Oryctolagus cuniculus: one gene and its partners. The protein of the gene in region 1 purifies or fractionates together with the protein of each later gene. This does not show direct contact. Links are inferred from orthologs where the notes say so. Each region holds a gene or a part of one and is shown in the gene's direction. Other genes may lie near its edges. The genes, in order: RPP14, RPP40 and POP5.

Evidence for each region.
Region 2: the proteins of RPP14 (region 1) and RPP40 purify together in Homo sapiens (co-immunoprecipitation; 3 studies listed by BioGRID and IntAct, with this or other methods). This does not show direct contact. The link is inferred for Oryctolagus cuniculus from reciprocal best matches to the Homo sapiens genes RPP14 and RPP40.
Region 3: the proteins of RPP14 (region 1) and POP5 purify together in Homo sapiens (co-immunoprecipitation; 3 studies listed by BioGRID and IntAct, with this or other methods). This does not show direct contact. The link is inferred for Oryctolagus cuniculus from reciprocal best matches to the Homo sapiens genes RPP14 and POP5.

The regions. Positions count from the first base shown.
Region 1 is NC_091441.1:91,668,791-91,678,623, reverse strand, and holds the end of RPP14 (ribonuclease P protein subunit p14), read left to right. Parts: intron 1-2,336; 5' UTR 2,337-2,357; coding exon 2,358-2,434; intron 2,435-2,550; coding exon 2,551-2,635; intron 2,636-5,282; coding exon 5,283-5,359; intron 5,360-5,811; coding exon 5,812-5,890; intron 5,891-6,380; coding exon 6,381-6,437; 3' UTR 6,438-6,539; coding exon of another isoform or gene 6,540-7,046; 3' UTR 7,047-8,579; downstream 8,580-9,833. Other genes in the region: HTD2 (hydroxyacyl-thioester dehydratase type 2, mitochondrial), read left to right, coding at 6,540-7,046. UniProt on the Homo sapiens protein: Component of ribonuclease P, a ribonucleoprotein complex that generates mature tRNA molecules by cleaving their 5'-ends.
Region 2 is NC_091436.1:165,365,017-165,375,607, forward strand, and holds the start of RPP40 (ribonuclease P protein subunit p40), read left to right. Parts: upstream 1-5,533; 5' UTR 5,534-5,586; coding exon 5,587-5,709; intron 5,710-6,995; coding exon 6,996-7,140; intron 7,141-8,425; coding exon 8,426-8,494; intron 8,495-10,591. UniProt on the Homo sapiens protein: Component of ribonuclease P, a ribonucleoprotein complex that generates mature tRNA molecules by cleaving their 5'-ends. Also a component of the MRP ribonuclease complex, which cleaves pre-rRNA sequences.
Region 3 is NC_091452.1:16,596,906-16,607,547, reverse strand, and holds POP5 (ribonuclease P/MRP protein subunit POP5), read left to right. Parts: upstream 1-4,643; 5' UTR 4,644-4,771; coding exon 4,772-4,791; intron 4,792-4,877; coding exon 4,878-5,020; intron 5,021-6,559; coding exon 6,560-6,709; intron 6,710-6,858; coding exon 6,859-6,942; intron 6,943-7,043; coding exon 7,044-7,162; 3' UTR 7,163-7,384; downstream 7,385-10,642. UniProt on the Homo sapiens protein: Component of ribonuclease P, a protein complex that generates mature tRNA molecules by cleaving their 5'-ends. Also a component of the MRP ribonuclease complex, which cleaves pre-rRNA sequences.

The DNA.
Region 1 (9,833 bases):
CGGCAGGCGCACCCGGAGTCTGGCCTCGCTCTAGACAGATCCGGAGAGTGGGGTCTGGTAGATTCTGTGGCTGCGGGGGAGGGGCACAGGGGCGGAATCGGAGACCCTTGGTACCGACAGAGCAGTTTCTAGGCTTCCCTGCCGCCCCTGAGAAGGCTGGCTTCAGAGGGGAAGTGGACCGTGACTCCAGGCGTGCTTCCGTTTGGTGGCGGGCCTGGGGGCCGTGCCAGGCTCATCTTTACTTTCAGAACAGCCTGCAGAGGGCGCTGGTGTCACTGAGGAGTCCGGTTTTTGGCGAGCTCATGTGTTCCATGAGTTTGGAGAGGTGTTTTGTTTTGTTTGTTTGTTTCTTTTTTTTTTGGTAATATATGTGTAAGGTAAAACATCGTTTGATCCATTGTTTTTTTTTTATTTATTTTTATTTTTTGACAGGCAGAGTGGACAGTGAGAGAGAGAGACAGAGAGAAAGGTCTTCCTTTGCCATTGGTTCACCCTCCAATGGCCACCATGGCTGGCGCGCTGCGGCCGGCGCACCGCGCTGATCCAAAGCCAGGAGCCAGGTGCTTTTCCTGGTCTCCCATGGGGTGCAGGGCCCAAGCACCTGGGCCATCCTCCACTGCACTCCCGGGCCACAGCAGAGAGCTGGCCTGGAAGAGGGGCAACCGGGACAGAATCCGGCGCCCCGACCGGGACTAGAACCCGGTGTGCCGGCGCCGCAAGGCGGAGGATTAGCCTAGTGAGCCGCGGCGCTGGCCTGATCCATTGTTGTGTGCAGTTAGGTGGCATTAAGTGCATTCTGACTGTTGGGCAGCCACCATCGGTATCCATCTCCCAAATGCCCAGGGTCAGCAACTCCTTCGAAGCACTTGGAAATACTTGAGAAAGCACCTGTCATGTGCCAGGCACTGAAAGAAGTAGATGCGATTTTTGCTGTTTTTGCGCTTCTGGTTAGGCGGGGCTCTGGGGGCAGGTGGACGGTCACTGTGCTGTCCTGAAGCCAGAGGCGCAGTTGAACATAGGGTCCCCCGCTGCCGCCGTTCTCTGAGCTCTGTGTCCTCCAAGCCAGACACAGAAAATGCTGAGGTCTGTTGAATGGATGTGTGGATGGAGCTCCTGCCGTCCGGCTTGTGCTTGTCTCTGGGCTCTTCGTCTGGAAATGGGCCTGAACCTGAGAGGTTTTGAAAATGCTCGTCTGGATCTCTGTGACCTTGGCTTAGTTCTTCTCTGTGCTTGGGCCTCAGTTTCTGGGTCTCGGCAGCGGGGAGCCCAGATACTAAGCAAACAAGCAGTGTCAAGACGTCCTATAACGTGAGCATTCCCGAGAGGGCGGCAGAAGGGCTCGAGGGGGAGGCCGGGGGAAGAGGAACTGGAGGGCAGCACTCTGCGGGCCTCGAGCGTGCTCTGAGTTCTCGGAAGGCCCAGACCTCAGCAATGGCTCTGAGTGCCCATTCCAGGAATTCCTCAGTCTCTCACGGAGCTGCCAGGTGGTCCTGCCCAGACCTGACCCTGGACCGAGAGCAGGTTCACCTGGAAGGGGGGCAGCCAGCTGCTTGTTCGTGCTCTGGGCTGACTCAGAGTAAACCAGAAAGGGGCCCGCAGGTCTCAGGTTTGGCTCCTTTATGTTTTCATTTTTTTCCTCTGGATCCAGAGGCACCATTCCAGGGCAGTCTTGCCATGGCAGAGTAGGTAGAGCCTGGGCCAGGCGCTAGCCATGAGGGTGGTAATAGTGTCTGCCTCATAAAATCGCTTTGAAGGCGCAGAAGCTAAGGCATGTGCAGTGCGTAGTGCACACTGGGTGCTTAGTAAGGAGAAATGGGAGCTGGCTTGTTACTGAGGTGGAAGTGAGGGCAGTGGTCTGGCATATTGAACAATATAGCAGCTTCCTTGTATCTGTGGGGTGACCTGCATTTGACCAGAATTAGATAAGTTGCTGTCCTAAGAAGTCACTTTAAAATAAGTCATATTCTTATTAAAAGTGTGAAAAATAGCATTTTAATTTTTAAAGGTTATTTATTTGGAGGCAGAGTGATGGAGAAGAGGGGAGAGACAAAGAGAGCTCTTAGCTGTTGATTTGCTCCACCCCGAATTGCTGCAACAGCCAGGGCTGGGCTGGGCAGGAGCCAGGAGTAGCAGAGGCCCAAGCACTTTAGCCATCCTCTGCTCCTTTCCCAGGCGCATTAGCAGGAACCTGGATCAGAAACAGGGTTGCTGGGGTTCAAACTGGTGCTCCAATATGGGATGCTGGCATTGCAGGTGGCAGCTTAACCAGCTATACCACGATGCTGGCCCCAAGAGCACATGTCTTGGTAATCTCCATCCCTCTTGACTTGCTGTAGGTGTGATCAGCATTGGAAAGGATGGAATTCGAAGAGAGCTGGTCTCAAAGAATAATGCGCATAGATCCCTCCGACTACCACTACATGAAAGTCTGCCTGTGAGTTCAGTCTCCTAAGTTCTATTTTAAATTACTTTTTAATAGACTTGAGCAGCATAAAATTTAACATAATGATGTCTCCCTCTTTCTTTTTTTCTTTGTAATATTCCTTGCAGAGAATTTGAAGAACACGGAATTGGACTGAACGCTGCACAGTTCAAGCAGCTGCTTGTCTCAGCCCTGCAGGAGCTGTTTGGGGAGGTAGGGAGTCACTAGATGCAGTGGACAGTCTGACGTTTCTTTGTAAGAAATACAGAAAGAACACTTTCCAAATGTTATTTTAAAACTGGATTTGGAATCGCAGAAGCTGACTTAGAAATCAAGAATTTGGAGCAGGTTTGTTCTAATGTGCCTTCTATTTGACAAGGATCTTGTTAGACAGATGTTGTGTTCCAGCTCAGAGATACTCAAGGTATGGTCCCAACTTGACAGCCTGCAATCTGTTAGGTTTATTTGTTTGCCAGTCTTCAAGATAGGAGTTCACACCAGAACCAGCATGCTACTTCCGTTGATGAGAAAGCTTGTAAGAAGGTGCGAGTAAACGAAACATGCAGTTGCTGTTCATTCTCACAGACCAGCACCTGGTCAGCTTGTCTTAGCATTCAGTTGAGAACAGAAATAGAAATCTGAAAGCTAAGCGAGAAGACAAGACAGGATTCTCAGCAAACTACTTCCTGGTTCATGTATTGTATCAAAATTTGCTAAGTTCCTTAGAAAATATAAAACTTGTGCTCTGTAAAAAACCTTGCTAAGAGGGTGAAAACACAAATTACAGACAGAAAAGTGGTGTTAATAGATAAGTTTATTTTGGTGCAAAAAATTTTGAAATCCATGCATGGTTTGTCCATAATAGGCATTTTCCATGAACTTTTTGAACTTCCCTTGTGTTTACAAAGCACATATCCAGCAAAGGACTCAAATCTAGAATGTAGAAAGAGCTCTGAAGACTTCATAGTAGGTGTGGATGTTACAGTGTGGTGTGTTGATCTGCTGCTTAGGACGCTTGCATCCCATATGCAAGGGCCTGAGATCTAGTCCCGCCCTGCTTCCCATCAGGCTCCCTCTAGCGCGCCTGGGAGGAAGCAGATGATGGCTGAAGTACTTGGTCCCGTGCTACAGTGTGGGAAACCCGGATGAAGTTCCTGACTCCTGACATTGTCCTGTCCAGCTCCGGCTGTTGCAGGCATTGGGGAGTGAACTAGCAGATGCAAAGTCTCTCACTCTGTCTCCTTCTGTCACTCTGCCTTTCAAATAAATAAATCTTTAAACAACAACAACAAAAACTTAATAGTAAATAACCTAACAGTCAAACTAGAAAGTGAACAAAAACCATGAAAAGACATCTCACTAAAGAGGATGTGCATTTGGCAAAAGCAGCTGAAAAGATGTTTAACCTTACCTATTAAGGAAATGCATGATAAAAACACAATGCGAAATCAGTGTGTACCTGGCAGAATGAATGAAGTAGAAAAAGCAGTAATACTAAATGCTGACAAGGAAGCAGAGAAATTGGGTCCCTCATGTGAACTGCAGCTGCTCCGCTGTGTGCTTTAGCAGCTTCTGGAGAAAACTGAGCAAGCACCTACCTCCCAGCCCCGACAGAGCACTCCTGCGCACTTACTCTGGAGCAGTGCAGCTTGTATGTGCAGATGTTCCAAAACCTAGACACACCTCGGCTGTCCTGCAGTGGATGAATGAATGAACTATGGCACAGTCCTACTGTGAAGTATACTCAGTGGTAAAAAAGGATTAACTGTTGATGCACACAGCTTGAATTTCCAGAGAATGATGCTGAGTTAAGAAAGTTATCCTGGAATATTATACACTCTTGAAATAGCATCATCATATGATTTGGAGAAAGATCAGTGGTTGCCAGAGTTTAGGGACAGAGTGGGGGGGGGGGGGCCACGAGGTGTGGCTATAAAGGGGTTGGAGTGAGGGGATCTTGAAAGGTTCAGTTTTTTTGTCCTAATTGTGGTGGTAGTTACATGAAGCTACCTGTGAACTACATACAACTAGCAAATACAAGTCTGTGTATAACTGGTACAGTATGAATTGAATCTGTATTGTACCAGTACCATTTTCCTGGTTTTGAGACTGTGCTGTGGTCATACAAGACCCTGACATTGTGGGGAGGTGAGGTGAAGGGTGCTTGGAACCTCCTTGTACATTCCTCCGTAATATTCCCTGAGTCTATAATTTTTCTAGATAAATTTTTTAAAACCTGTGCACCTTCTATGTCAGGTATGAAACCTGATTCCTGGATCTATACCTGTAAACAGATGTGACCTCTGCCTCACAGTCTAGTGCTCATGGTTCTGAGATAGGAAAACGTGTCCAGCACTGACAGTGAGGAGGAGGCGGAGGAGGAAGAGTGGTGTCCAGTGGGGGAAGAGCACAGCGAGCAGATTGAGCCTCATGGTGAGGATCTGGGAAGAGCAGGTTAAACCAAGGTGAGGAGGCATCAGCACATGAAGAGGTTTGAGAGGAGCATTCTAGGCAGGGGAGCGGTAAGACAACTCAGTGCCAGCACCACTGAATACAATGCTGCTTTTCAAAGGTGGCTCAATTATTTGGGTCCCTGTCACCCCTGTGGCAGACCTGGAAGAAGCTCCTGGCTTCCTTAACTGTAACAGCCACCTGGGGAGTAAACCAGCCAATGGGAGCTCTCCCTCTCCTTCCTTCTCTGTCCCTGTAACTCTTTCAGATACCTAAAATACTTCCTTTTTTTTTTTAAAGATTGGTGTTTGTTGTAGAGGAGAAAGACTCAAAGAATGGACAGGGTTAGTTGTTAGAGTTGAAGAGTAATGATGATAATAGTCTGCTGATAGCGTCCCCTCATATGTAGGTTGGTGCCGCCCTGCCCTTCGACGTCCTCACCTACGAAGAGAAGACCTTGAAGGCCATCTTGAGAGTATGTAACAGGTACGGCAGCTAGTGGGGCATTTCTGGTCTAACAGGGCAGGAAGGCTGGTGGGGAGGTAGAGCAAAGATGCTTTCTTCTGAGAATGAGAAGAACGTGGTTGTGTGTTCTGAGCAACTTCTGGGAGTTTGAACTGGAGTGGATATGAACGTTCACGGCCAGCTGCTGACCGTCTGTAGAGAGGAATGTGGGATTTGGTAATAGTTAGAGGGCTTCTCGTTTGCTGGGATGACTACAAAGTCAGAAATGTGCATTTTAGAAACAGTCTTACTGGAGGTTCAATGATTCTCTGTGACACATTATGCTTTTTATTTTGGGTTGGTAGGGGTTGTTGATTTATTTAAATGAGGCTTTCTAGTAAGAAAGCAGCCATTGGAGGGGCCACGCAGACAGAAGTGCTGGGGAGGTAATGTGGGGACAGAGCTTTATTTATGTTTCCTTGATCTTTCTGCAGTGGTTTTGTCAAATTGTGGAGCTCTCTGACCATGTTAGGATCCTATAAAGGCAACAAGTGTGCTTTCCGAGTGATTCAGGTAAACCATCCCCTCACGTACCCTACAAGGCTGCGTGGCGGTGAGCTGCTTTTCAGCGTGTGTGAGGGAACTTCAAAAAGTGTATAGAAAAAGAAAAAGGTTGATTTAGGTGCAAGACGTTTTGAAATGCATGCCCAGCTTCTGCATCGCACTCATTCCCCACTGGCTTTCTGAGGTGTCCTCGTGTGCTTCCTTCTTGAGCTCGAACAAAACTGGGCTGGTTACCGCCATCTGGCTAGGAAGAAGCACAGAGTCCTGCAGTGACATGGGAAAGGGGAGAGGGTCGGGGATAGATTCGGACTCTTGTGATAAAGGCTTCATGTTTCCTTTAATGCTGATGCCTCGTGTGCTAGGTGGTGGTCTGTTGTGTCTGAGCTTCTGACCACTTGTGTAGCTGAGGATGCCCGTGACAGCGCCCTGCCTCGGCTTTGTTTACCCTGTGAGTGCCGTCTCCTCACGAGGCTGTGTTAACCCTTTGTCTGTCTTGTAGGTTTCTCCATTTCTCCTTGCGTTATCTGGTAATAGTAGGGAGCTCGTGTTGGATTGAAATGTCAAGTGCAGACACCTTCTTCTGCTGTCAGAATATTCTTTGGCGCCCACCTAGCACCTGAAGGCAGAAGCAAGCCAAGAGCCACTGTGGGTGCTGAAGATGTTCCCCGTGATCTGCAGCTGTCGCCTTTGGTGGGGTCAGCTGCGGCGGAGCGTCTGCCTGAGTCGCCCTGTGCTGAGCGGGCAGCGCTGCGAGTGCGTGCACATCCGAGTTGGAGACCGGGCTGAACTGAGCAGGGCTTTCACTCAGAGCGACGTGGCTGCCTTCTCGGAATTAACGGGAGACGTCAATCCTTTGCACGTAAACGAAGAGTTTGCGAAGCACACCAGGTTTGGGAAGGCGATTGTGCATGGGGTGTTGATCACTGGACTCATCTCAGCGCTCCTGGGCACAAAGATGCCAGGGCCCGGCTGTGTGTTTCTTTCCCAGGAAATTCACTTTCCAGCGCCTTTATATGTCGGAGAAGTTGTTTTGGCGTCGGCGGAAGTGAAGAAACTGAAGCGGTTCATTGCTGTCGTTGCAGTGTCGTGTCGTGTAGTAGAAAGTAAAAAGACCGTTATGGAAGGCTTGGTGAAAGTCATGGTCCCAGAAGCTCCCAGATCCTGAAGTAGGTGTGCAAAGGTGCAAGTTCACACCCAAGAGCTGCAGTTATTAAAAAGCACCTGGCTTAACAGGGACTGTCTCTCTTCCCCGGGGGTGGCCTGTGTTAGGGGAGGGGTGTTCGAATGTGCGCTTTCCAGCTTGGCCACAAGTGCCACAGGCCAGAGTCTGTGCCCCAATCCATCACCTGCCGAGACTTGCAAACTGAAAAACTCCCGGGAAGGTTATTCATCTAAGGCTCAGCTTTGTGAATTTCAAACCCAGACGTGCGTTTGTTAGCACGAGTGTGCCCTTGTCTGTGCAGGAGTTTCTCACAGACGTCGCTAGTGGCATGCAGTAATAGGAGGTGGGTCATTTCTGAACATGTACTCTTTACCAGAAGTATTCCTGGGCCCTGGCTTTCAGTCATTTTGGGGTCAGAGTTCATAAATGTGACTGTTCACAACAAGACGACTTCCTGTCCACCTTCAGTGGGACCCACCTTTCAGGTTTCCTGTTACTGCAGAAGGGTTCATGTGCGGACTTGGACTTGGTTGTAAAAGCTGCCTGATTTATTAAGGGGTAGGGACACACACCACGTTGGGGTTAACGTGGGAGAGGATGGACACAGAGAGGTAGACGTGGGGCTGACCTGGGGGTGAGGTCGGCCCTGCTTACAGTGGAGCACATAACAGGCCAGTCTTTGAGGGTGATAGGCAGTCTCTGTTAGTACTCTGGGCAGATAATCAATGCAGAGTTTTCATTTTAGGAGTCCAGATTTTTGCCCTTAAAAATGTGCCTGTGTTTCCTGTTGTATAAGTATATGCCTGTTGTAAAGAAAAGAAGAAGTTAAGAAAAATATGATGAAGGCCACAAATGCAAAATTCTTAAGAGTTTGGGGATACTGAAGGGGAAACGCACCTGATGGGTTAATATCAAGTGCTTAGCACCAACACCGCCAATGCTTTTAAGATGAGAGCCTACAGCACCCTCCAGGTGGCCCACCTGTACAGCCTTCAGATGCTAACTCTGCTGCTAGATGTTTTGATTAAGGTGATCAGGTGTAACTGGTTGGTTCTGTCAGATTTCCTGGGATAGAGATTTTATTCCTGCTGGTGGTAAAGTAGATTTTTCAATTTTGGAGTTTTTTTTTTTTTACAAAAAGGGGAGCAGTTGAATTGATTACTAGAAGTAATCATTCTATTCACTAGAGGGCAGGGATGCATATAAAGTGAATACTTTAAAACTGAGCTCGTCACTGTGGCATAGCGAGTTAAGCTGCTGCCTGTAGCACCGACATCCCATATAGGCGCTGGTTTGAGTCCCAGCAGCTCCACTTCCAGTCCAGCTCCCTGCTAATGCACCTGGGAAAACAGCAGAAGATAGCCCAAATATTTGAGCCCCTGCACCCATGTGGGAGACCTGGATGAAGCTGCTGGCTTCGGCCTAGCCCAGCCCTGGCCATGGCCATTTAGGGTGTGCACCAGTGGATGCAAGATTTTTTGTCCCTCCCTCTCTGTAACTCTGTCACAAATAAATACTTTATTTTTTAAGAAAAAACTGTATAATGCTATTCCATGCTGCAGTTTATGAAGGTGGGAACAAAATGCTCAAGTCAACGTGAGGAGCCAGGGTGCTGTTGTGAGTCCCGGAATGGGCAGCTCGTGCAGGCTCAGGTGCTCCTGAAGAAGACATTTATAGGTAAACCACTAGATGTGCCAAGAATGTTACAGTAACAAAAGAAGACAGAACTCCAGACCGGGACCGCTTGCTCCTGGGGAGCCTGTTCCTTGGGCCTGGCAGCAGCCTTAGAATCATGGAGTCCACAGGTGGAGGGGGGGTGATCACAACATCAATACTCGGAGTGGGTGGTTTTCCTCACCCAGGGAGCCAGTTCTCTGCATTGATGCTAATCCTTGAAACAGCTCTGTGAAGTTAGTGTCCTGTTGTATAGGCATGGAGTTAGAATGATGCTGTGTGACTTACCCAGGGTTGTGCCCCTAATAGTGGTAGAGTTGGGGGTTCCAGCAAGGCCTTGCCTGGCTTCCAAGCCATTCTTTTGCCATCACCCTGTGGATCTTAAAATGTTTCCGTTACTGGAGCGCTGTCATGTTCTATAATGGTGCCTTGTTATGTGGCATTAAAAGCAATTAATTGGAATCATTCTGTAGAATTGATACATTCAGAACATTCTAGATCTTATTTCTTGCTCTCCTTGTGCCTTTTTTTTTTTAAGTATCTGAAATTTGAAGTTTTTATTTTTATTTTTATTTATTTTTAACGTGGAGAGTGAGAGAGAGAGAGAGAGAAAGGTCTTCCTTTTTGCCATTGGTTCACCCTCCAGTGGCCACCGCAGCCGGCGCCGCACCAATCCGAAGGCAGGAGCCAGGTGCTTCTCCTGGTCTCCCATGGGGTGCAGGGCCCAAGCACTTGGGCCATCCTCCACTGTACTCCCTGGCCACAGCAGAGAGCTGGCCTGGAAGAGGGGCAACCGGGCCAGAATCCGGCGCCCCGATCAGGACTAGAACCCGGTGTGCCGGCGCCGCAAGGCGGAGGATTAGCCTATTGAGCCACGGCGCCAGCCAATGCTTTTCATATATACTATTACTGGATGGCTTTCATCTGTGCCTCTCACCTCCCCACCCGTTTTCTAAGTTGACAGTGGATATTTGTCTTCAGAGCAGAATTGGTTAAAGAGATAGTCTAAAGAGAGAAAGTTACATGTAGGCCAAGTATGGGCAGAGAAAGCAGCTGTTAACTGCTGTGGCTTTCAAAAGTCGCTTCTCTGTGTGAGCACTTCAGCCTTTTTTATGC
Region 2 (10,591 bases), on another chromosome or scaffold:
ACTTTTGAGACTTCTGTTATAGTTATTGAATTGTGTATACTTTACAATTTAACCTCCCTAAACTGAAGATACTAAAACATACCTCACAGAGCATACTTGTGAGATATTGAATATAAAGTGCTCATAACAGTACCTGACTCATTTTAGGTATAGATAACAAATAATTATATGTGTATGTATGTGTATATATATATATATAATACCAATTGCTCCATTCTCTTTGAATGTATTTCACTTTCTTTTTAAAATTTTTTTTAAAGATTTATTTATTTGAAAGGCAGTTATAGAGAGGCAGAGAGAGAGTGAGAAAAGTCTTCCATCCGCTGGTTCACTCCTCAGATGGCTGCAATGCCCGGAGCTTTGCTGATCTGAAGCCAGGAGCCAGGAGCTTCTTCCGGGTCTCCCCTGAGGGTGCAGGGGCCCAAGCACATGAGCCATCTTCCACTGCTTTCCCAGGCCATAGCAGAGAGCTGGATCAGAAGTGGAGCAGCCAGGATTCAAACCAGCACCCATAAGGGACGCTGGCACTGCAGGCAGCAGCTTGACCCGCTATGCCACAGCATCTGCTCTTTATTTCACTAACTTTCAAATAAGTAAAATGCTCTAGTTACACAGACCTTTGGAAAATGCCTCAATATGAGTTATAGTTTCTGCATCCCTAAGATTAAACTTTTTAATACACCAATTTATTTCTAAATGTGTTTTTAAACTAAAATTTAAACATGTCCAAATTATCCTCCCATTTGTTCATGATCATATGTGACAGAACTTTAATCAGACTGTGCAAAGGATGTTGTGTTGGGCTTTTAAAGTATGCCTCCATTTGTACGCTTGCACGTGTTGACTAGGCCCAGAGTGGCCACGGTCAGTGTCTGTGTCTCGCTGAGTTCCCCAGTAGTCAGGAGGGCAGCCGGGAGGAAAGAAGTGAGACCACCTGGTTCTGAACCCTCAGCAGGAGGACCTCTGCAATCCCACACCCTTACATGGGCAGAGCCTACAATTCTTCTTGGGGGTTGTCTTTAGGTGTGTTTGGCAGTATATACACAGAGATTTCCTTCTCACAGTTCTCCAGGCTGGGAAGTGCAAGATCAAGGTACCAGAAGACCTGACTTATTGGACAGGGGTCTTCATGCTCTGGACCCACGTGATGTAGGGAGGAGACAGCTCTCTGGGGCCTCCTTCCTAGAGCACTAACCCCATTCCTCACTTCCCAAAGGGCCCACCTCCTCATACCATCAAATCGGTGACTGGGGCTCAGCATTCAGACCACAGCAAGCAAGGCCATTAACGATTTTCACGGCAGCAGTGGGTGCCAAGTCCTGCTGTGCTGAGGGAGGTTCTTATCGAAAGCCAACACCAAGTGACTGGTAGCAACTGCTGGAACTCTGTTGGAAAGGGCTCTGAGGTCAAGTTCAGGCTCAGCAGGAGGGAGTCCTCTGATTCTGAACGGAACAGTCAGGATTCCCTGTACTGCTGCCCCTGATTCTAATGAGACGATGTTGGAAGGTTCCAGGGCAGTGCTGGCCAGCTCTGAGTCAGTGCTTTCCCCCAATCAGTACAGTTCCACCTGTTGCTGGCTGAGATATTTGCAAGCACATGTATTTATCAGGAACGTGTGTTTTGGATTGGCACCTGACCCGGGCATTAAATCACTTAAAATTTTAATATTTACAAGGAGTTGGCATCTTTAAATTCTGTCTGTTGTTTCTAATTACATTGCCTTCTGGCCTAGAAATGTGACGTGTAAAGTTTTTATTCTTTTCTGTATTAACTAAGTCTGTATTTATGTTTACTGAACACGGTCAAAGGGATTTTGATTTTTTTTGTAAGCTCGATTTTTTAAAAATTTCATTGCTCCGTTCCTTTGGATATAGACACATAGAAGAGTTGTGTTCACTGTTGTGTGTGTGATTTATTGATTTTTGGCCCTTCATTCCCTCTTAAAACTTTTCCATCTATGCCCCATGCTCTAGATTCTATGATATGATATTAATATCTTTCAGTTCAGATTGCTTTCTGCTCTAGAGATCAGGTAATCTGACATACACAGTATGAACAAGGGGAGGAGATGAGGATGAGGCAGGCAGGGAGCCAGGCTAAGATTTTTTTTTTAATTTTTTTTAAAGATTTATTTATTTATTCGAAAGTCAGAGTTACACAGAGAGAGGAGAGGCAGAGAGAGAGAGCATCCGATAGTTCACTTCCCAGATGGCCACAACGGCCGGAGCTGTGCGGATCTGAAGCCAGAAGCCAGGATCTTCTTCCAGGTCTCCCACGTGGATGCAGGGGCCCAAGGACTTGGGCCATCTTCTACTGCTTTCCCAGCCACAGTAGAGAGCTGGATCAGAAGAGGAGCAGCCGGGACTAGAACTGGCACCCATATGGGATGCCTGTGCTTCAGGCCAGGGTGTTAACCCATTGTGCCACAGCACTGGCCCTGCTGTCTAAGATTTTATTCTGAGACAGTGAGAGGCCAGTGGTGAGGGATTTAAATTGGGATGGTGGGGCATATGTCATGTTTTTCATATTTTCAAGAGATCACTGGAAGCTCAGTAAAAAATGGACTGTAGGAGAACAAGAGAGGAAGCAGGAGGTGGTTAGAATGCTCTCTCGGCAGGTAGACCAGTAAGAGGAAGGTGGTTCGAACTGGTTGCAGCAATGGAGACGGCAAGAAGAGGCTGCAGTTAGGACTTATGCTGCTGGCAGAGTTAACAGGATCTGCTGTGGGGCTGTGTATGGGGTCAGGCAGGAAGAAGAGATTCGGGGTGGCTTCCTGGGGCTCCTCTCAGGAAAGAGGCTGGAGAGAGCTGGTCCTAAAGCTGTGAGACTCTGAACTGAGATATACAAGATGGATAAGTGGGGGGACAGGCATTGGGCCTTAAAGGTCAGATGCCCGAATCCTATACTGGAGTGCCTGGGTTCCAGTCCCAGCTCTGCCCCAATTCCAGCTTCCTGCTGATGCGCACCCAGGAAGGGAGTTGGTGACAGTCAAAGCATTTGGGTCCCTGCCACCCAGCAGGGAGACCGAGGCTGACTTCTAGGTTTCTGGCAGGGGCATGCTGCAGGTTTTTGTGGGGAGAACCAGCACACTGGACATTTCTGTCTGCCTTTCAAACAAATAAACAAACAAAAGTAAAAATTGGAAGGAAGGAAAGGGGCTGGGGACTAGAGATCGGGACGAGGAGGGGATCCAGGAGAGTGGAGATCCACAGGAAAGGTTTCAAGAGTGAGAAGTGCTCAACTGTGCCATCGGCATCAAAAACAATTAACAGATTGAGTCAGGGACAGAGTGCTCAGCAACGTGGCGCTCACTGCTGACCCTCACAGAGGCCTTTCCCTGACGTGGTAGGGAGGAAGGCCAGAGAGGAATGAGCTCACGGAAGGAGAGAGGAACAAAATGGTAAAGAAAGAATCTGGGGTAAAGGCTGTCCGTTGAGTGCACGCTAAGGCGTGTCTGTGTGCTAACACGGGCAGGGGACCATTATAAACAGTTCCAGAACTCGGGGGCTGTGGCCTGAGAGGAGTCCTTAGCCACACATGCACTTGGCATTAGAACTTCCATCTTTAAATCTGTAACATGAGTGAGACTTTCGCCATTTACTTCACATTACAGGCTTCCACGATGAACACTTCTGTGGAGGAACCGCTTGGGTTTTAATACCCAAACTGCCTAGCAGCTGTTCAGCTCTCAATGTAGTTGCTATTGGGCCGGCGCCGCGGCTCAGTAGGCTAATCCTCCGCCTTGCGGTGCCGGCACACCGGGTTCTAGTCCCGGTCGGGGCGCCGGATTCTGTCCCGGTTGCCCCTCTTCCAGGCCAGCTCTCTGCTGTGGCCAGGGAGTGCAGTGGAGGATGGCCCAAGTGCTTGGGCCCTGCACCCCATGGGAGACCAGGACAAGTACCTGGCTCCTGCCATCAGATCAGTGCGGTGCACCGGCCGCAGTGGCCATTGGAGGGTGAACCAACGGCAAAGGAAGACCTTTCTCTCTGTCTCTCTCTCTCACTGTCCACTATGCCTGTCAAAATAAATAAATAAATAAATAAATTTAAAAAATGTAGTTGATATTCACATAGATAAGATTTCCTGGGGGCCTTCAAAGAAGAGGGTCATCTTATGCTAAATGTTTTACTGGAAATGTTTTACGTTGACTCCAAACACAATTGGCATCAGAATCATACCAGTCACTTTACAGGGCTCTGGAGTATCACGAAGATGCACATATCTGCTGTGGCATACCGGGCCACGGCTCATGAACCACCACACCGGGCCACTGCTCATGAACCACCACACCCGGCCACGGCTCATGAACCGCCACACCGGGCCACGGCTCATGAACCGCCACACCCGGCCACGGCTCATGAACCACCACACGGGCCATGGCTCATGAACCACCACACCCGGCCACGGCTCATGAACCACCACACCCGGCCATGGCTCATGAACCACCACACCGGGCCACGGCTCATGAACCACCACACCCGGCCACGGCTCATGAACCACCACACCGTCTGTGAAGTGACAGTCGCAGTGTTTCGAGCACTGCACGTCCCATCATGTCTGCCGCTTACACCTTGGTGCCACATTGTGATTTTGAGCTGTTGATGGATTTCCTATGCTTTGTTAATTTTCCCATATAAAATAATAAGACATAGGTTTTCACTAGTATTTTTTTTTACTAAGTCTGGCATTTCAGGCAGATTACTGAGGTGTTTTTTTTTTTTTTAATATTTATTTATTTGAGAGGCAGAGAATGCCAGATTCCTTCCATTTGCTGGGTCATTCCTCAAACGGCCGCCAAGGCCAGGGCTGGGCCAGGCAGCACCCAGGATCCCAGAACTCCCATCCCAATTTGCGAAGCGGATGCAGGCGCCCAAGCCCTTGGGCCATCTCCCGCTGCTTTCCCAGGGGCACTAGCAGGGAGCGGGAGCGGGAGCGGGACTCGAACCTGCACACGGGATGCCGGCGTCACGGGGGCAGAACCTACCGTGCCGCAACACCGGGCCCCAAGATCGCTGTGTTTAATGCAGACGCCTCTCCAGCCTGTGTTACACTTCCAATGCTTACCTTGCAAACCCCCTGCCCCCCGTTTCTTCCTCATCCTGTCACCACAAAACCGATATTCGCGGACGCCGTTCAACCCACGTCCGACTGCTGCGCACCCCCAAGCCCGAGCAGCTCGCAGCAGCGCAGACCCCGGCGCGCACCCGAAAGGCCCGGGTGGTGACCCCTCAGAGCCGCGACCGTCGCGGGGGAAAGCGAGGGTCCAGGCGGTCCTCCCTGACGCGGCCACTGGGGTCCGCGGCTGGCCACCGCGCTCTGAGGCCGCCCGGGGCCGGTCAGCGGCCGCCGAGGCGTCGTCTCCGCATCGGAGGCGGTGGGTTCACGGTGTCAGACGCCGCGCGCCAAGGAGCGTCAGCGGAGGTTCCTCACGGAACCGGCCCGGAGACCGCTGCGAGAAGCGCCGTCCCGCCGGGCAGCTGCCGAGCCGCACTGCGCATGCCCGCGGGTGGGGCGGGGGCATAAAAGGAAGGGGCGGGGCATAAAAGGAAGGGGCGGAGCTCTGGAGCGGCAGCAACAGGCGGGAGCATGGCCACGCTGCGCCGGCTGCGAGAGACGCCGCAGCACTTCCTATCCTGCGTGATGTCGAGTTTCCACGATCCAAGGCCCCGCCACCGGCATTTCGTGGAGACGCACTATTATAATTACAAGGTGAGTTCGTCTCCGCGGGCGGTCCAGAGTTCCGAAGCAGCCGCGCTCAGATTTCGCTATGGCGGGACCGTCGTGGGCGTGCGGGGCAGGCGGCGGCATGATGGGAATTGTAGTCTCTTCTCGGCCCCGGACTCTTAGCTCTCAGGGCTGGAGGACTACAACTCCCAGGATGCGGTGCGCCGTGCCCACCGCTGTTGAGGGATTGAGCGGTGGGTGCGCCTCTCGCTGTTTCCCGGAGCGCCGCCGGCTAGTGCCTCGTGTCCTGGGCTCTCCGCTCTGGGACGGAGAGAGGGGTGTGCGGGCCTGGGGTGGTTGGCCACGGCCGCTTGGAACTCTTCCCTTCGCGCGGCGTCCTCCGCACCGGCTCCCTGTGGTGCTGAGTCCCGCACCCGCCTGTGCCTGGGGGCCTTCCCCGAGCATTGTGCCGTGCCCAGGCCCGGGGAGCTCTCTGCTTTCCTAGCCGCAGACACCCCACAGAACTAGCCTTCCGTGGTGAAGAGTTACGGCTGGCGTCTACACCCGCGCCCACGTGGAAGTGACTGGGTTCGATGGTCAGCCCTCTCCTGACTCCAGCTGCCCGCTGATGCAGACCCCGAGAGGAGGAGAGGTGGCTCAGGCGATGGGCTTCCTGCCACCCGCATGGGAGACCTGGATAGCATTGCTGGCTCTGGCTTCGGTTGCAGGCATTTGGAGAGTGAACCAGCAGATGGGAGATTTCTCTCTTTCTCCCTTTCAAATAAGATTTAAAAAAAAATATTTGGAAGGCAGAAATGCAGAGAGAGAGAGGGAGAGATCTTCCATCTGCTGGTTCGGTGGCCAGGGCAGGGCTGGGCCAGCCAGGAGCCAGGAGCTTCCTCCGGGCCTCCCACGTGGGTGCAGGGGCCCAAGCAACTGGGCCAGCTTCCGCTGCTTTCCCAGGTGCCTTAGCAGGGAGCTGGATGGGAAGTGGAGCAGCCGGGAGTAGAACCCGCGCCCGCATGGGATGCCGGTGCCGGCAGGGCAGGTTCAACCTTCTGTTGCCACAGCGCCAGTCACCAAATAACAATTTAAAAAGATTTTTTTTTTTTTCTGCTTCGTGTCTTCACTCTGTTTGCATGCAGAAATGCAAAGCTTGACTTGTCAAGGTTCTGTGCTTGAAATCAGTAGGTGAGCTTGGCGTTCCGCCACCTCCGTGTATGTATTCCAGTAAAAACTGGAGAAGCAGCCACTTTGACGCTCTCACCTCCTTGCCGAACACCTGGCTGTTGGTGGTGAAAGTGAGACGGAGTTTGTACGTGTCCCACTAGGTTTCGTTTCTCATTCCGGAATGTGCCTTGCTACCAAAGGAACTGAAGAGCCTGGTCACGGAGCTCGGGCCCTATTATCTTGTGAAGAATTTACCTCTGCATGAATTCATCACACCTGAATTCATCAACACCTTTGTGAAGAAAGGTATGAAAAACCGCACAACGTGTGAGCAGGCAGGGGTGTGTTCTAGAAGGTGGCCGGGGGCGGTTTTGTTGTGGAAGCTGCATGGTGTCCTTATGCAGACTAAGACAGCAGTGATGTAGCCAGGAGACTGGCTCTCATGGGACTACTATGTGCATGGCTCATTGCTGACATTGGGACAAGGCGTGGTTGTCCAAGGAGACTGTCACAATACTGGGTTCCTCTTGTCCCAGGCAGGCCCTGTGGGGGTAACCTGTGTGTCGAAGGGCGTGCATTACTACCCCCACTCCGCGGGGTTGTCACCCTCCTCTCTGGTGTGCCCTCTTTCCGTGGGGATTTCTGATTAGACCTGCCCACACGTGTTGGGTGCGGATGTTGAACGTGGGGTACCCCTCATGGTAAAGCAGGAGTTGATGGAGGAGGGAGGTCTGCGATCGGGGTCCTGCTGTTGGGGGGTGGCTGCGAAGACGCGGCCCACTCTCCTGATGCGGCGCAGCTGCCCTTCCCGGAGCTGAGTGCTTAGACGCGGGGCCCTCCCGCTCTGCGCACCTCGCCTCAGCCAGGCTGCCTGGTTTGTTGCAGTTGTCTCCTGGGAGCCATCCATGTGAGGCCGTGTTGATGGAACCTTTAGGGAGCCCACTCTGCTCTCGTGACCGCCGCACCCTGGCCACGCACTTGTCCTGCTGTAGGGCCCGTGGTGCGCTCTCAGGCGAGCTGGCGAGAAGTCCCGTGCTCATAGCCTCCCCGCCGGACACTGCGGGGCTGCTTGTGAAGCCGGGGCCTTCGTCTTTGGTCTGAAGTTGTTTTGTTAACAGCGTGGACATTCGCAGGCACTTTTCAGTAGCCTATTAATTTAGCCCTCGCAACGACTCTATGAAGTAGGCCTGGGGAGCTGAGGCGTGGGGAAGTGGAAGAGCTTTTGAGTGTAAGTCGGAACGCCGCCTTGAGGTGTGTACGTTGACCTGTGTCTACCTGTCGCTCTCCGCCTGCATCCCCAGGGCGCGTGTTCCAGGCTGAGTTCGTTTGTTGATTGATAATAGGGGACTTGCACAAATGGGCCCTTGGTGGCAGAGTGAACCGGCTGGAGGCTGGCCTTCTGTACGTCCCAGGTTACCCTTTGCAGGTGCTGGCCTTATTGAGTGAGCTGGAACGGTGACAGGTACTGACTGTTATTTGCGTGGAAGATTGTTATCACCTGAAAATAATCCACTAATATTATGCAGATGTGGTTTCTTTCTTTTTTTTTTTTCTGCTGTCTTAATCTCTTCTTTGGACTTCTCTCGTACAGGTTCGTGCTATGCACTAACATACAACACAAACATTGACGAAGATAATACTGTCGCCTTGCTACCAAATGGTAACAATACTGATTTTTCTTTCTTTTTCTAATTATAAGAGAAATGCATAATGTTTAGAAAACATGAGGTCACCACCTTTTAACTCCTCCTTCCAGACTCACCTGCTTCTTATAGGAAATTGTGAATAACTTGCTGTTTTCCCTCCCAGACATTTTCAGTGAGTTTATAAACGCACAAAGAAGGTTTATAATGTAAATTCCATCATACTACTTCAGTATGAAGTACCTAGCGTAGACACTTTCTGTATCAGCGCACATACAGTCATGCATTGCTTAACAGCAAGGCTGTGTTCTGAGAAAGGCATCAATAGGAGATTTTGTGGTTGTATGGAAACCATTGAGTGTAGGTACACAAGCCTAGATGATACAGCCTGCTACACACCTAGCTGTACGGGGTAGCCGGTGGTTCCCAGGGCCGTGATGAAATCAAACCAAGCACAAGGAAGGTGATGGGATCAAGAGGCAGGGCAGGCTCCAGGTGTACGAGGCTGCTGTCAGCGCAGCGTGGCAGACTTGGTGTGTGTGTGTGTTTGTTACCGTTTACTTAGTTTCATCTACTTGAAAACCAGAGTGAGAGAATCTTCTATATGCGGATTCATTCCCTAGATGCCCACAACCTACAGGGCCCGGCAGGCCAAAGCCAGAAGAAGGCTACAGTTCCCTCTGACTCTACCACGAGGGTGGCTGGGGCCTAAGTACTTGAGCCATATCTGCTCCTTCCCAGGTGTGTTAGCCGGAAACTGGATCAGAAGCAGAGCAGGGGGCCTTGAATCAGACTGGCGCTCTGATCCAGGATTTGGGCATCTTCTGCTGCCTCCAGGATACAGTCAGGAAATTGGATCAGAAGTGGAGGAGCCAAGACCTGATCCCAGGCACTGTGCTATGGGATGCTGGTGTCCTAAGCAGCAGCTTATCCCACTGTGCCACAATACCCGCCCAGTTTTATAGCAACCTTTTAAATATTTATAAAATGTATCCATTTATTTGAAAGAGTTACAGAGAGAGGGGGAGAGACACAGAAAGATTTTCCGTCCACTGATTGACTCCCTCAGTGGCCACAATGGCCAGCACTAGGCCAGGCCAAAGCCAGGAGCCAAGAGCCAGGAGCTTCATCCAGGTCTCCTGCATGGGTGGCAGGGGCCCAAGTACACGGGCCATCTTCTACTTTTCCCAGGCTGTTAACAGTGAGCTGGTTTGGAAGTGGAGTAGGTCAGGCATGAACTGGCAGCTGGATGGGATGCCAGCATTGGTAGGCAGCAGTTTTGCCCATTATGCCACAACGCCGACCCCTAAACTTTTTTTTTTTTTAAAAGGTTTATTTATTCGTTTGAAAGGCAGAGTGAGAGGCAAAGAGAAAGAGAGATCTTCTGATTGTTCACTCCCCCTCCCCCTTCCTCTCCCTCTCTGCCCTGCTGTAACTCTGCCTTTCAAATAAATCTTTTAAGGGAAGAAAAAAAAAAAAAAAAAGGAGAAGAAGAAATGGAGTCTCCGGGACTAAAACCAGGCACTCTATAAAAAAAGCAGGGCGGGGAGGGGAGTAGCCAGGACTTGAACTGGCATTCACATGGAATGCTGGCGTTGTAGGTGCTGGCTTAACCAGCTGCACCACAATGCCAGTCCCCCATTTTTTTTGTGTGTGTATTCAAGCGTATACTTAATAAGAATAGTGTAGTAAATACACTAACCGGTAACTAGTTTATCATTAAGTGTGGTGCACTGTACGGAATTGTCTGTGCTCTGCACTAGACGCGTTTACACCAGCATCACCAGAGACATGTGAGGAGTGTGTGTGGTGCAGTGCAACTGTGTGATAGGTGTTTTCCAGCTCCATTATAATTGTAGAGGACCCACCTTCGAATATGCGGTTCCTCATTGACCAAAATGTCATGGTCTGGGCCGTGACTGCAGCTCTGACTTACTGTTTTTATTGTCCTGAATGTATTCAAAAGACCAAGTGGGTCTTGATTTGTTTATTCTTTCTTTAATAGAAATTTGGATTATCTCTAGGTTCACTGTTATAAGTAACAGCATTGTCTCTTTAATATGTAAGTAGTATTCTGTAATAAGATGTGTGTATATATAAGTCATAGCCTTAAA
Region 3 (10,642 bases), on another chromosome or scaffold:
TATCACCAACGTTGCCGCACCATGCATCCTCATTCACCTGCCTAAGGGCCAGCACCTCTGTGGGAGTAATTCCTGCTGGAGAAATTGCTAGGCCCAGCAGTCGTGACCTTGAACTCTAAGCTAATTCTTAGATGGACGAATCCTCACTGCAGACAAGGACAGGAGGCCAGGTTCCTAAGGCACCAAGGACGCGGGAGGAGTGAGACCCAGGTTGTGTCTGTCTCAGGGGCCTGGAGGATGTGGTGGCTCCCCAGGCCCATGGCCAAGCAGATGGAGGGCTTAATTTCATCTAGACTGTCCCTGTAAGGCTTTTACAGGAAATTGGTTGATAGGATTAGAGGAGCAGGAGCCCCTAATAAGAAGTGGCTGCTTAACAAAACACTGAAGCAGATCCAATCTCCCTTTGCCCCTACACAGCACAGCATCGTCGACTCAGGAAGGACTCACTCCACAGACGCCAAAGGGGCCTGGGAACAGCTCCCCCCTAGGGTTCTCCCTCCTCAAACACCCTTCTGGGCTCTGGACTTCCCACGATGCGGTGCAGAGAGCAAAGAGCTAAGAGCTAAGAGCACAGATCTTTGGATAAGACAGAAGTCGGCCCCCATTACTGTGGGACTTTGGGCAAGTCCATTCTGTCTCCAGGCCTCAGAGAATAAGATCTATCTCCACAGGGCTGTGCGGGTGAAAGGAAGTCAAACACAGTGTGCCCAGGGCAGTGGCTGGCATGTGGTGACAGCCCAATAAACAGCAGCCCAAGAGATAAGGATGGCACCCTCCCCCAAGGCCCAAGGAATAATGCTAACGGGAACATTTTAGCAGCTGCCCCTACCACCTCCCAGGGAATGCTGCAGACTTCCCAGCTGTGAAATGGGTCGTTTGAGTTGAGCTTCCAAGGTTTAAGGGCCATGCTGACACTAACGTTTCAATTTCTTGTGGGATAGGACTGGGCAAACAGAGTGGAACCCTCAGCTGGGGGGGAGGGGCAGGAACTAAAAGGAAGTTTCCCAAGCCCCAGAGGCGTCTATTTATCTGATCATCGGTTCTGGTCTAGGATCTACCCCTCTGCCAAGTCCCAGAGGAACAAGTGCAGGTGCAGGTGCAGGTGCAGGTGGCAGGTGGTTAGCTGAGCAGCGAAGGTGCCCATGTCCCACCTGGAAGGACCTGGGTTTGATTCCCGGCTCCAACTTCCGACTTCAGCTTCTTACACAGACCCTGGGGGGGGGGGGGGCAGCAGTGAAGGCCCCAGCAGTCAAGGCTCCTGCGGCACAGGTAGGAGACTTGGATTGAGTTCCACAGGGGTCTGGGACCTGCTGTAGGCATTTGAGGAGGAACTAGCAAATGGGAGTTTAAAATTTTCAAAGAGCACTTGTAATGATGACACTAAAACAGCGACTTTCCCACAGATCCTCAGTGGATGTGAACCCGCGAAGGGCACCTGCTCACGGGTCACACACAGCCGGCATCGGCCTGGAGCCCACCGGACTCCGCTCCATTCACCTCCCGAGGCCCAGGCCGCGCCGGCACTGAGGCGGGATAATCTCAGCCCCGTGGCATTGGCGTTCCGGGGGCGGCACGGAGCACGCAGCCGCCCCTCCACGCCTCCGCGGGCGGATTCCCCCGCGGCCTCCCGCGCGGCGCGCGGCGGGGACCCCGGTGATTGCCAGCAGCCGCCGGCCTCATTAGGAGACGTGTAATTAGCGGCTGGCGGAGCCTGAGCCCGCGCCGGCGCGGGCTAATTACCGCGGGAGCTGGCTGCCAGGGCCGCAGTGTTTCCTCCGGGGCTGTGCGTGAGCCCGAGGAGTCAATCGTTCGTTCGGAACAGAGTGCTTACCGCGCGCTCCCTGGGCCAGGTGCTTAACTCCCATTTCCTGGTCATTTCCAGTCGGAGGAACCTTTATTATCCTATTGCACAGACGAGGAAACTGAGGCCTGGAGGAGCGGCTCAACCTCCCTGAGGACTCCTGGTAGGGATTCGAACCCGCGGCGGTCCTACCGTGCAGACGACATCAGCCAGCGCTCGAGTCGGATGGCTGTGGGTTCGAGTCCCGAACCTGCTCCTTGACGCCCACTCGTGACCGTGGTCTGAATCCCAACTGTGTCTACAAAATGCGCGCGTCGCTAGGATTGACAGGCTGAAAACTTCAGGAGTGCTTTGAGGCTGGTCCTGCGGGGTCCACGCACTGCGGGCCTCCGACGCCCTCTGCGGGCCGCAAGACGATGTTTCCGGGTGAGGCGCGGGGCACGCCTCCTCCCTCCCTCCCTCAGCTTCCCTCCTTTAAGGTGACAAGAGTGGGAGATGGGAAGGCTAAGAACTCCTTCTAGACCTGGCAAATAGTCGGCTGTGAAAGGTGCTTCCCCTCATGGACCTCGCAGGGCCAGCCAAGGGCATGGGCATCAGTGACCTAGCTCCAAGGCATGCATCAAAGCATTGAGTCTACGAGAAAACCTGGAAGTAATTTATACAGCCATCAACAGGATACTGATGGCCGGCGTTGTGCCCTCGTGGGTACAGCACCAGATCCAACACTGTGAGGCCGGCATCCCTTGTGGGCGCCGGTTCGAGTCCCAGCTGCTCCACTTCCCTTCCAGCTCCCTGCTAATGCCCCTGGGAAAGCAGTGGAAGACGGTCCAAGTGCTTGGACCCCTGCACCGACTTGGGAGATCAGGAAGCAGCTCCTGGCTCCTGGCTTCAGACAAGCCTGGCTCCAGCCATTGCAGCCATTTGGGGAGTGAACCAGCAGATGAAGACCTCTCTCTCTCTCTCAAGCTCTGCCTTCCAAATAAATTAATTAATTTTACAAAAAAAGGCTATTCCTCCGCCTGCGGCACCAGCACACCAGGTTCTAGTCCCGGTCGGGGCGCCGAATTCTGTCCCGGTTGCCCCTCTTCCAGGCCAGCTCTCTGCTGTGGCCAGGGAGTGCAGTGGAGGATGGCCCTAGTCCTTGGGCCCTGCACCCCATGGGAGACCAGGAGGAAGCACCTGGCTCCTGGCTTCGGATCAGCGCAGCGCGCCGGCCGGAGTAGCCACTTGGGGAGTGAACCAACGGAAAGAAGACTTTTCTGTCTCTCTCACTATCTTACTCTGCTTGTCAAAAAAAAAAAAAAAAAAAAAAAAAGAATCTTTTAATTACTGAGTTAAAGAAATCAGACACAAAAGAAAACATGCTGTAGATTTATTGGAAGTTCACCCACAGGCAAAACTAACTGGTCCTGGTGGAAGTCGGAACAGTGGCTGTTTCTGGTAAGAGTTCTGACTGGGACTCGGGGAAACGTCTCAGGTTCTGGAAATGCTTTCTCCACCGGAATGTGGGTGACAGGTACACGAGTCTCTAGGAATTCGCTGAGAGGTGCTATACTTCCAATTTTTTTTTTTTTTTTAAGATTCATGGGGAAAACAATTTCTCAGCCTTGCTCCATCCTCAGCGAGGAATAGATTTTTATTTAAAGATTTATTTTATTTATTTGAAAGACAGAGTTACAGAGAGAGGTAGAGACAGATAGAGGTCTTCCATCCAATGGTTCACTCCTCAGATGACCACAACAGCTGGAGCTCCGCCGATCCGAAGCCAGGAGCTTCTTCCAGGTCTCCCATGTGGGTGCAGGGGCCCAAGCACTTGGGTCATCTTCCACTGCTTTCCCAGGCCATAGCAGAGAGCTGGATCGGAAGTGGAGCAGCCAGGACATGAACCAGCACCAATATGGGATGCCAGTGCTTCAGCCCAGGGCTTTAACCCACTGCACCACAGCCGGCGCCAACAAGAGAGAAATTTAAAAATATTCAAGTGAAAAGGAAAAAGTGCTTGACAGTATGACCCACGATGCTTACAAAGAAAATAAAAGGAAAAACACCACTTCACATGGGCACAATTCTCAAAAGCCGCTCTCTGCCTCACGACCTCTTTACACTCTTAAATTACTGAGGATTCCGAAGCGCGTCTGTTTTTGCGCTGATAACTATCAATGTCTACCTCAGAGATTAAAACTAAAAACTGTTTAAAACACAATAGACGATTTCATCAGCCCTCAGAGCGGCGATGCCAGATACCATGTGGCTTCTGGAAAACTCTACGGTCTACTCTGAGAGGGTGAAGAAGGCAAACTGACATCTTACTACACTTATTAATATTATTATAATTAATAATCCCGAGTCTCCCTGAATGAGTGGGAATTCCGTGGGAGAACTGCGGGCACAGGGGGAAACCACGGAAGAAACTACGTGATAAGCGGCTCTCTCAGTCCTGCGGTTACAGCGGAAAATACAATGACAACAGTTTTTGCAAACAAACAAAAAAAGGTGACAAAGCACCCATCTCCACAAAACTGTTGAAAGGCCCAAAGAGTAACAGCATATTTGAGTGGAAGAATTAAACCGCGCTCTAACCTGAAGTGTCCGATTTGCTGTGTGTCAGTCCCTGTGCTTCAGCCTGGAGTATAAATGCGTGTGTGACCGCGCCCTCAGGCGCCGGGCGCCCCCGACGCCGGCCGCCTCCTACACTGTGAACCGCGAGGGACCGCCCATCGCAGCCCCGAGTCCAGCCCCCAAACCACAACCTCCCGGGACGGCAAAAGGACGCATGCGCTCTTACAAAGGCCGTCGGAGGCGGAGCTTGAGGGAGACTGACACGGAGCTTGGCCTCTCAATTTTCTAGCACCGCCCTCCTCTCCTGGCTCCCTCTCGGAGTGGCTGCAAGGTGGCGAAGGCAAACTTCCCATTGGCCGCAGGACACCGACATCCGGTGAGCCCTTCGGGAAGGCGGGCCCCGCGGCAGCCATGGTGCGGTTCAAGCACAGGTAAGCGGCTCCTTGCGCACCCTCAGAGCCACCCCCGGTCTCCCCGGCCCCGGCTCGCGCGCTCACCCCCATGTGGCCTGCGGCAGGTACCTGCTCTGCGAACTGGTGTCCGACGACCCCCGCTGCCGCCTGACTCTGGAGGACCGAGTACTGGTCGGCCTGATTCGGGACACGATCGCCCGGGTGCACGGGACCTTCGGCGCGGCCGCCTGCTCCATCGGTTTCGCAGGTGCGAGGGCGCGGGGGCAACCCGGACGGACGGCGGGATTTGGAAGGAGCAGGCGCTGGAGGAGGGAGGAAGAAGTGGCACGAGCGAGCCCTGGAGAGGCCAAGCCCGGGCGCACCCTTCGGTCGTGGGAGGTCCACACGAGTCCGAAATTAGGCAGAGCTAAAGCAGGGGCCCGCAGGCAGTGGGACTTCGGGCAAAACCCTGTGTGGCGTCTGCATATTGGGGCTTGTTAGTGAACTTAACATAGTTAAATGAGTAAAGTCGTATATAGTTCCTAGGCAGAGCCATTATTTGACCGATTACATTGACATCACATGGGAAAAAGCAGGTCGTAATTACCTCAGAAAAGCCCTTAATAGTAACGTACAGCCCACGATTGGGTACAAGTTCCGTGCAGGATAGACAGGCACCAAAAAAGGCTGTTCGCCCTCCGGACTACTCCAGCATTTAGTTCCTTTTACCGTGAACTCATAGGGTCCTGGAGAATCAAGTGCACGGAGGTGACCTCTTGCCATCAGGTGAGACCCGCTGGCGGCCACAGGAGCCTGCAGAGCCCAACGGCAGTAAAACAGCCCGTTTATTAGACGAGGGCTTTTTTTTATATATACATATTATATATGTGTGTATTATATATAATATATATTATAAATATATATATTTGACAGAGTTATAGACAAGTGAGAGAGACAGAGCAAGGTCTTCCTTCCGTTGGTTCACCCCCAAATGGCTGCCACGGCCGGCGCTGCACCCATCCGAAGCCAGGAGCCAGGTGCTTCCTCCTGGTCTCCCATGCGGGTGCAGGGCCCAAGGACTTGGGCCATCCTCCACTGGACTCCCGGGCCACAGCAGAGAGCTGGCCTGGAAGAGGGGCAACCGGGACTAGAACTGGCACCCATATGGGATGCTGGCGCCACAGGCAGAGGATTAACCAAGTGAGCCACAGTGCCGGCCCCCAGACGAGGGCTTTTGTTTTTAAAAATGTATTTATTTGAAAGTCAGAGAGGGAGACCTCTTCCATCCCTTGGTTCACTCCCCAAATGGCAGCAATGAAACTAGAGCTTCTTCGACATGGGTGCAGGGGCCCAAGCACTTGGGCCATCTTCCTCTGCTTTCCCAGGTGCATTAACAGGGAGCTGGATTGGAGGTGAAGCAGCCAGGTCTTGAACCAGTGTCCATACGGGATGCTGGTGTCCCAGGCTTCACCTGCCACACTGCAAGGTTGGCCCCGACAAGGGTTTTTTTTCATGCTGAAACATCATCTCCCCCTCCTCCCAGTAAAGTCACTGAATAGAACAGCATTTTAGATTCTCGATTCATTTACCAATTCTAAGTGATGTGCAAGGCCTTGGTGGTTATCCTCATTCCATAAATGAAGGTCTCGTCTGAAGTTTTTCTTTAGGAGTCTGTTTTTCCTCAGTGATGCATCCCAAGTGCCATTTGTCTAGAACAGTCCCTGGCACAAAGCAGGCTCCGTTACCCTAAGGCTTCTAACCACCTGTGAATCCGAAGTTTTCCAAAATGATCTCTCCCCTGCTGTAGTTCGATACCTCAATGCTTATACCGGAATAGTGCTGCTTCGATGCCGAAAGGAATTCTACCGGCTGGTGTGGTCAGCGCTTCCCTTCATCACGTATTTGGAGAGCAAAGGACACCGTTACCCTTGTTTTTTCAACACGTTACACGTGGGAGGTAGGCATGCATGTAGTGCATTTGCTGAATCTTAAGTGACAGACTCAGCATTTACCTTGACTGCTCGCGTGCTGAGAGAGAATTCCTCCTAGCTCTGTCTGTAAAGCAGACATTCACAAGCTGTTGACTCCATGTCTTTCATGTGCCAGGTACAATCAGAACATGTCAGAAGTTCCTGATTCAGTACAACAGGCGACAGCTGTTGATCTTGTTACAGAACTGCACTGATGAAGGTAAGCAACAGTAGCCCAGTGCCCACTGAGCAGTGACCAGCGGGCTGCCCTCGTGCAGAGAGATTGCTCGAAGACATTTATTCTGCTCTGCCTCTTTCCAGGAGAGCGGGAAGCTATCCAGAAGTCAGTGGCGAAGAGCTGTTTACTAGAGGAGTCATCTGAAGAGGAAGGGGCTTCCGACAGCGGAGGTGAGGAAGCTGCTGAAGCAATGGCGTCGTGAACTGCTCAGACTGGGTGGCAGCCAGCCAGGGCTCGATTTTCCAGCGTGAACTGGAGGCCACACTCACCTGAAACCCTGGAGTTGCTTTTACAGAGTGTTTCTGGTTAAGTGGTTCTGCGGGTTGTAAAGGCTCTACACTTGTGGATAGTCTTGTATCTAATTACTTGTCTAATTTGGTTTCTATAGCATTGAGCATAATAACAAAAGGGCTTATACACTTCATGCTTGGCCAAGTCTCCTCTTGCATTTACCCTGGCTTTGGTGGGAAGACTGCTCCTATGTGACACTACATTAAAATATTTTTAAAAGATATGAAAGGCAAAGAAAGATCTCCCATCCACTGACTCCCCAAATGGCTTCAACAGCCAGAGCGAGCCAGGCCAAAACCAGAAGCCAGGAGCTGCATCCCAGTCTTCTGCATGGGTGACAGGGGCCCGAGTACTTGGGGTATCCCCCACTGCACACTAGTGCAGGGAACACATTAGTAGGGAGCCAGAACTGAAGTGGAACAGCTGGGACTTGAAATGGCACACCCCAACACCAGATGAATTTTGAATATTTAGCTTTCCACGTGTAGCCCTAGATAAAAGAGCTCATTTGGAATAGAAATGTGAAGAGACATAGCAACCAGCTTGTACAGATCCATAGTCTCAGTAATGATCCAAATACCTTAGAAATATCAAATTCCTTGCTAGCACCTAAGCAGCTGACTCTGAAAAAAAAAAAAAAAAAAAAAAAAATTGCAGCTTTTGCACTTTTGTGGCATAGGCTGGCCTCACCTGACTTCACTGCCAGGCTGGGAATTTTCTGTAGTTCCACCCATTCTTATTTCCTTACACCTGAAGACAGGTAACTGCCACACTCACAGGCATCAGACCAAAGGACTTTTAACCAGCTCTGTCCTGCTACCTCATGACATTTCTTGGCTGTTTTCTCCATAATAAAATGATGTCATTCAAAGGTCCCTCAGTCACAAAGTTGGGTTTTTTAAGGTTTATTCATTTTACTTGAAAGTCACAGTTACAGAGAAGGAGAGGCAGAGAAAGAGAGAGGTCTTCCATCCAATGGTTCACTCCCCAATTGGCCACAACAGCCGGAGCTGCGCTGATCCAAAGCCAGGAGCTTCTTCCAGGTCTCCCACGGGGATACCGGGGTCCAAGGACTTGGTCCATCTTCTTCTGTTTTCCCAGGCCATAGCAGAGAGCTGGATCGGAAGTGGAACAGCTGGGTCTTGAACCAGCACCCATATGGGATGCTGGCGCTGCAAGTAGAGGCTTTACCCACTACTCCACAGCGCTGGCCCCATAAAGCTGTTTTGCTTCACTGTGTCCTCTAATTTCAGGACCAGAACACAACCTCCCTCAAGAGTCCTTGACCTGAGATTTCCTTTAAAAATGACAGGCTAGCAGCTTCTGGGGAGCTGAGCACAGGAGTCTTCACATCCTTTCTCACAGGCCTTCCCCATCCAGCTCCTGGATCCTCTGTCATACGCCCATGAACAGTCACTGACTGAAGAATTATCAGTAACCAGAGTTGCACCTGTACCTTTGAAGTGAGGAACAAGAACCTCAGATATGCTGCAGTGACCCTAATCTTTCAGGCTTAAAAAAAAGGGGGGCGGGTGTTTGGTGTGGCAGCTAAGGTGTTGCTTAGGGTGTATCACACAGAGAACTTGGGTTTGACTGCAAGCTCCACTGCTGATTCCAGCTTCCTGCTAAGGTACACACCCTAGAGCAGGACTGGCTCAAACAGCTGGATCCCTGCCACCCAAACAGGAGACCCACACTGGGTTCCTGCCTCCTGCCTGGCCCAGCCCTGGCTGTTGCAGGCATCTGTGAAGTGAACCAGCAGATGGAAGACGGTCTCTCTCTCTTAAATAAATAAATCTATCTAATCTATCTTTATAAATAAATAAATCTTTATCTTCTCATATTCTTTTTTTTTTTGGACAGAGTGGACAGTGAGAGACAGAAAGGTCTTCCTTTGCTGTTGGTTCACCCTCCAATGGCCACCGCGGCTGGTGCGCTGCGGCCGGCGCACCACACTGATCCAATGGCAGGAGCCAGGTGCTTATCCTGGTCTCCCATGCGGGTGCAGGGCCCAAGCACTTGGGCCATCCTTCCCTGGCCAGAGCAGAGAGCTGGCCTGGAAGAGGGGCAACCGGGACAGAATCCGGCGCCCCGGCCGTGACTAGAACCTGGTGTGCCGGCGCCACAAGGCAGAGGATTAGCCTAGTGAGCCACAGCGCCGGCCACCTCTTATATGGTTAAAGTTAGGCCCAGCTCAAGAGGCTTTCTGGTGTGTATGGGGGGCTGCTGAGGTGCAGTGGGTTAAGCTGCCACCTACAGGGCTGGCATCCCACAAGGGATGTCCCTGCTGCTCCATTTCTGGTCTAGCTCCTTGCTGATATACCTGGGAAAACAGCAGGAATTTTGAGAAGCAGCTCCTGGCTTCTGGCTTCACCCTGGCCCAGCCCCTGCTGTTGTGGCCATTTTGACAGTAAACCAGCAGATGGAAACTCTGTCTTTCAAAATAAATGGAATATATTTTTTAAAAAAGTCCTTTAGGCCTGATACCAGAGAAGACATTAGTCCATGATGGCTGAACTGCCTAAGTTCATAGTAGCTGTTACTTTACCCTATTTCAAGAAGTAATATGTCTGGCTGACCTGCAATGAACTTAAAAAAAAAAAAAAAAAAAAAAAAAAAAAAAAAAAAAACAGAAAAGCTGACATTGCTTGTGCAGGTGATTTATTACAACTATTTGCCTTCACATTCTATTACACCTAGAGTTCATTTTATTAAGCAGAAAACAATTCACATCACTCAAATTCAGCTCAAATCAAGGCATAAGAAAGCTGCTGTAGACAAGAGGAAGACAGTGGACAACCTACTGCCTTCACCCTGCCCTGTTCTCCAAGCCAAACTCCTGCCCCTACCAGTCAGGCCACTATCAGACAAGCTTGACCTGTGGGATGGCAGGTTCAGAGCTTCCTTACAGACTGGCAGCGTTCCTAACCCTCCTTCACCATGTAAATGGCCATCAAGCTGGCAACCCACATCTGGCACCACAGCCTGGCCATCTGGCAGAAGAAAATCAAACTGCAGCTTAAGCTGGGTATCCTAAGGCCATTTTATTCCCATCCCTGTTTCTATGACAAGGAGAACTGCACAGGCAGAAAGGACGCAGCTATCTTTATGACAAACTGCTAGGTGTGATGAAAGCAGAGGCGCTGGCGCGGGGTGCCGCAGCAGGACACTTCGTGCCGCTCTGCTGTGAGCTGTTCCAAGGGATGCTGAAGGACTCAAACTTTTGGGGGGCTGAAAACTAATTACACATGGGCCAAAACACTAACCTGGCAACAAACTAAAAACTCTGGCAGGAAGAGATGTCTTGTGAGTGTCAATACTTTTATTTTGGTGTAAAGACGGGAAGCTGGAAAATACACTGTATTTAAAATTTTTCTTGGTTCCCCCTCGC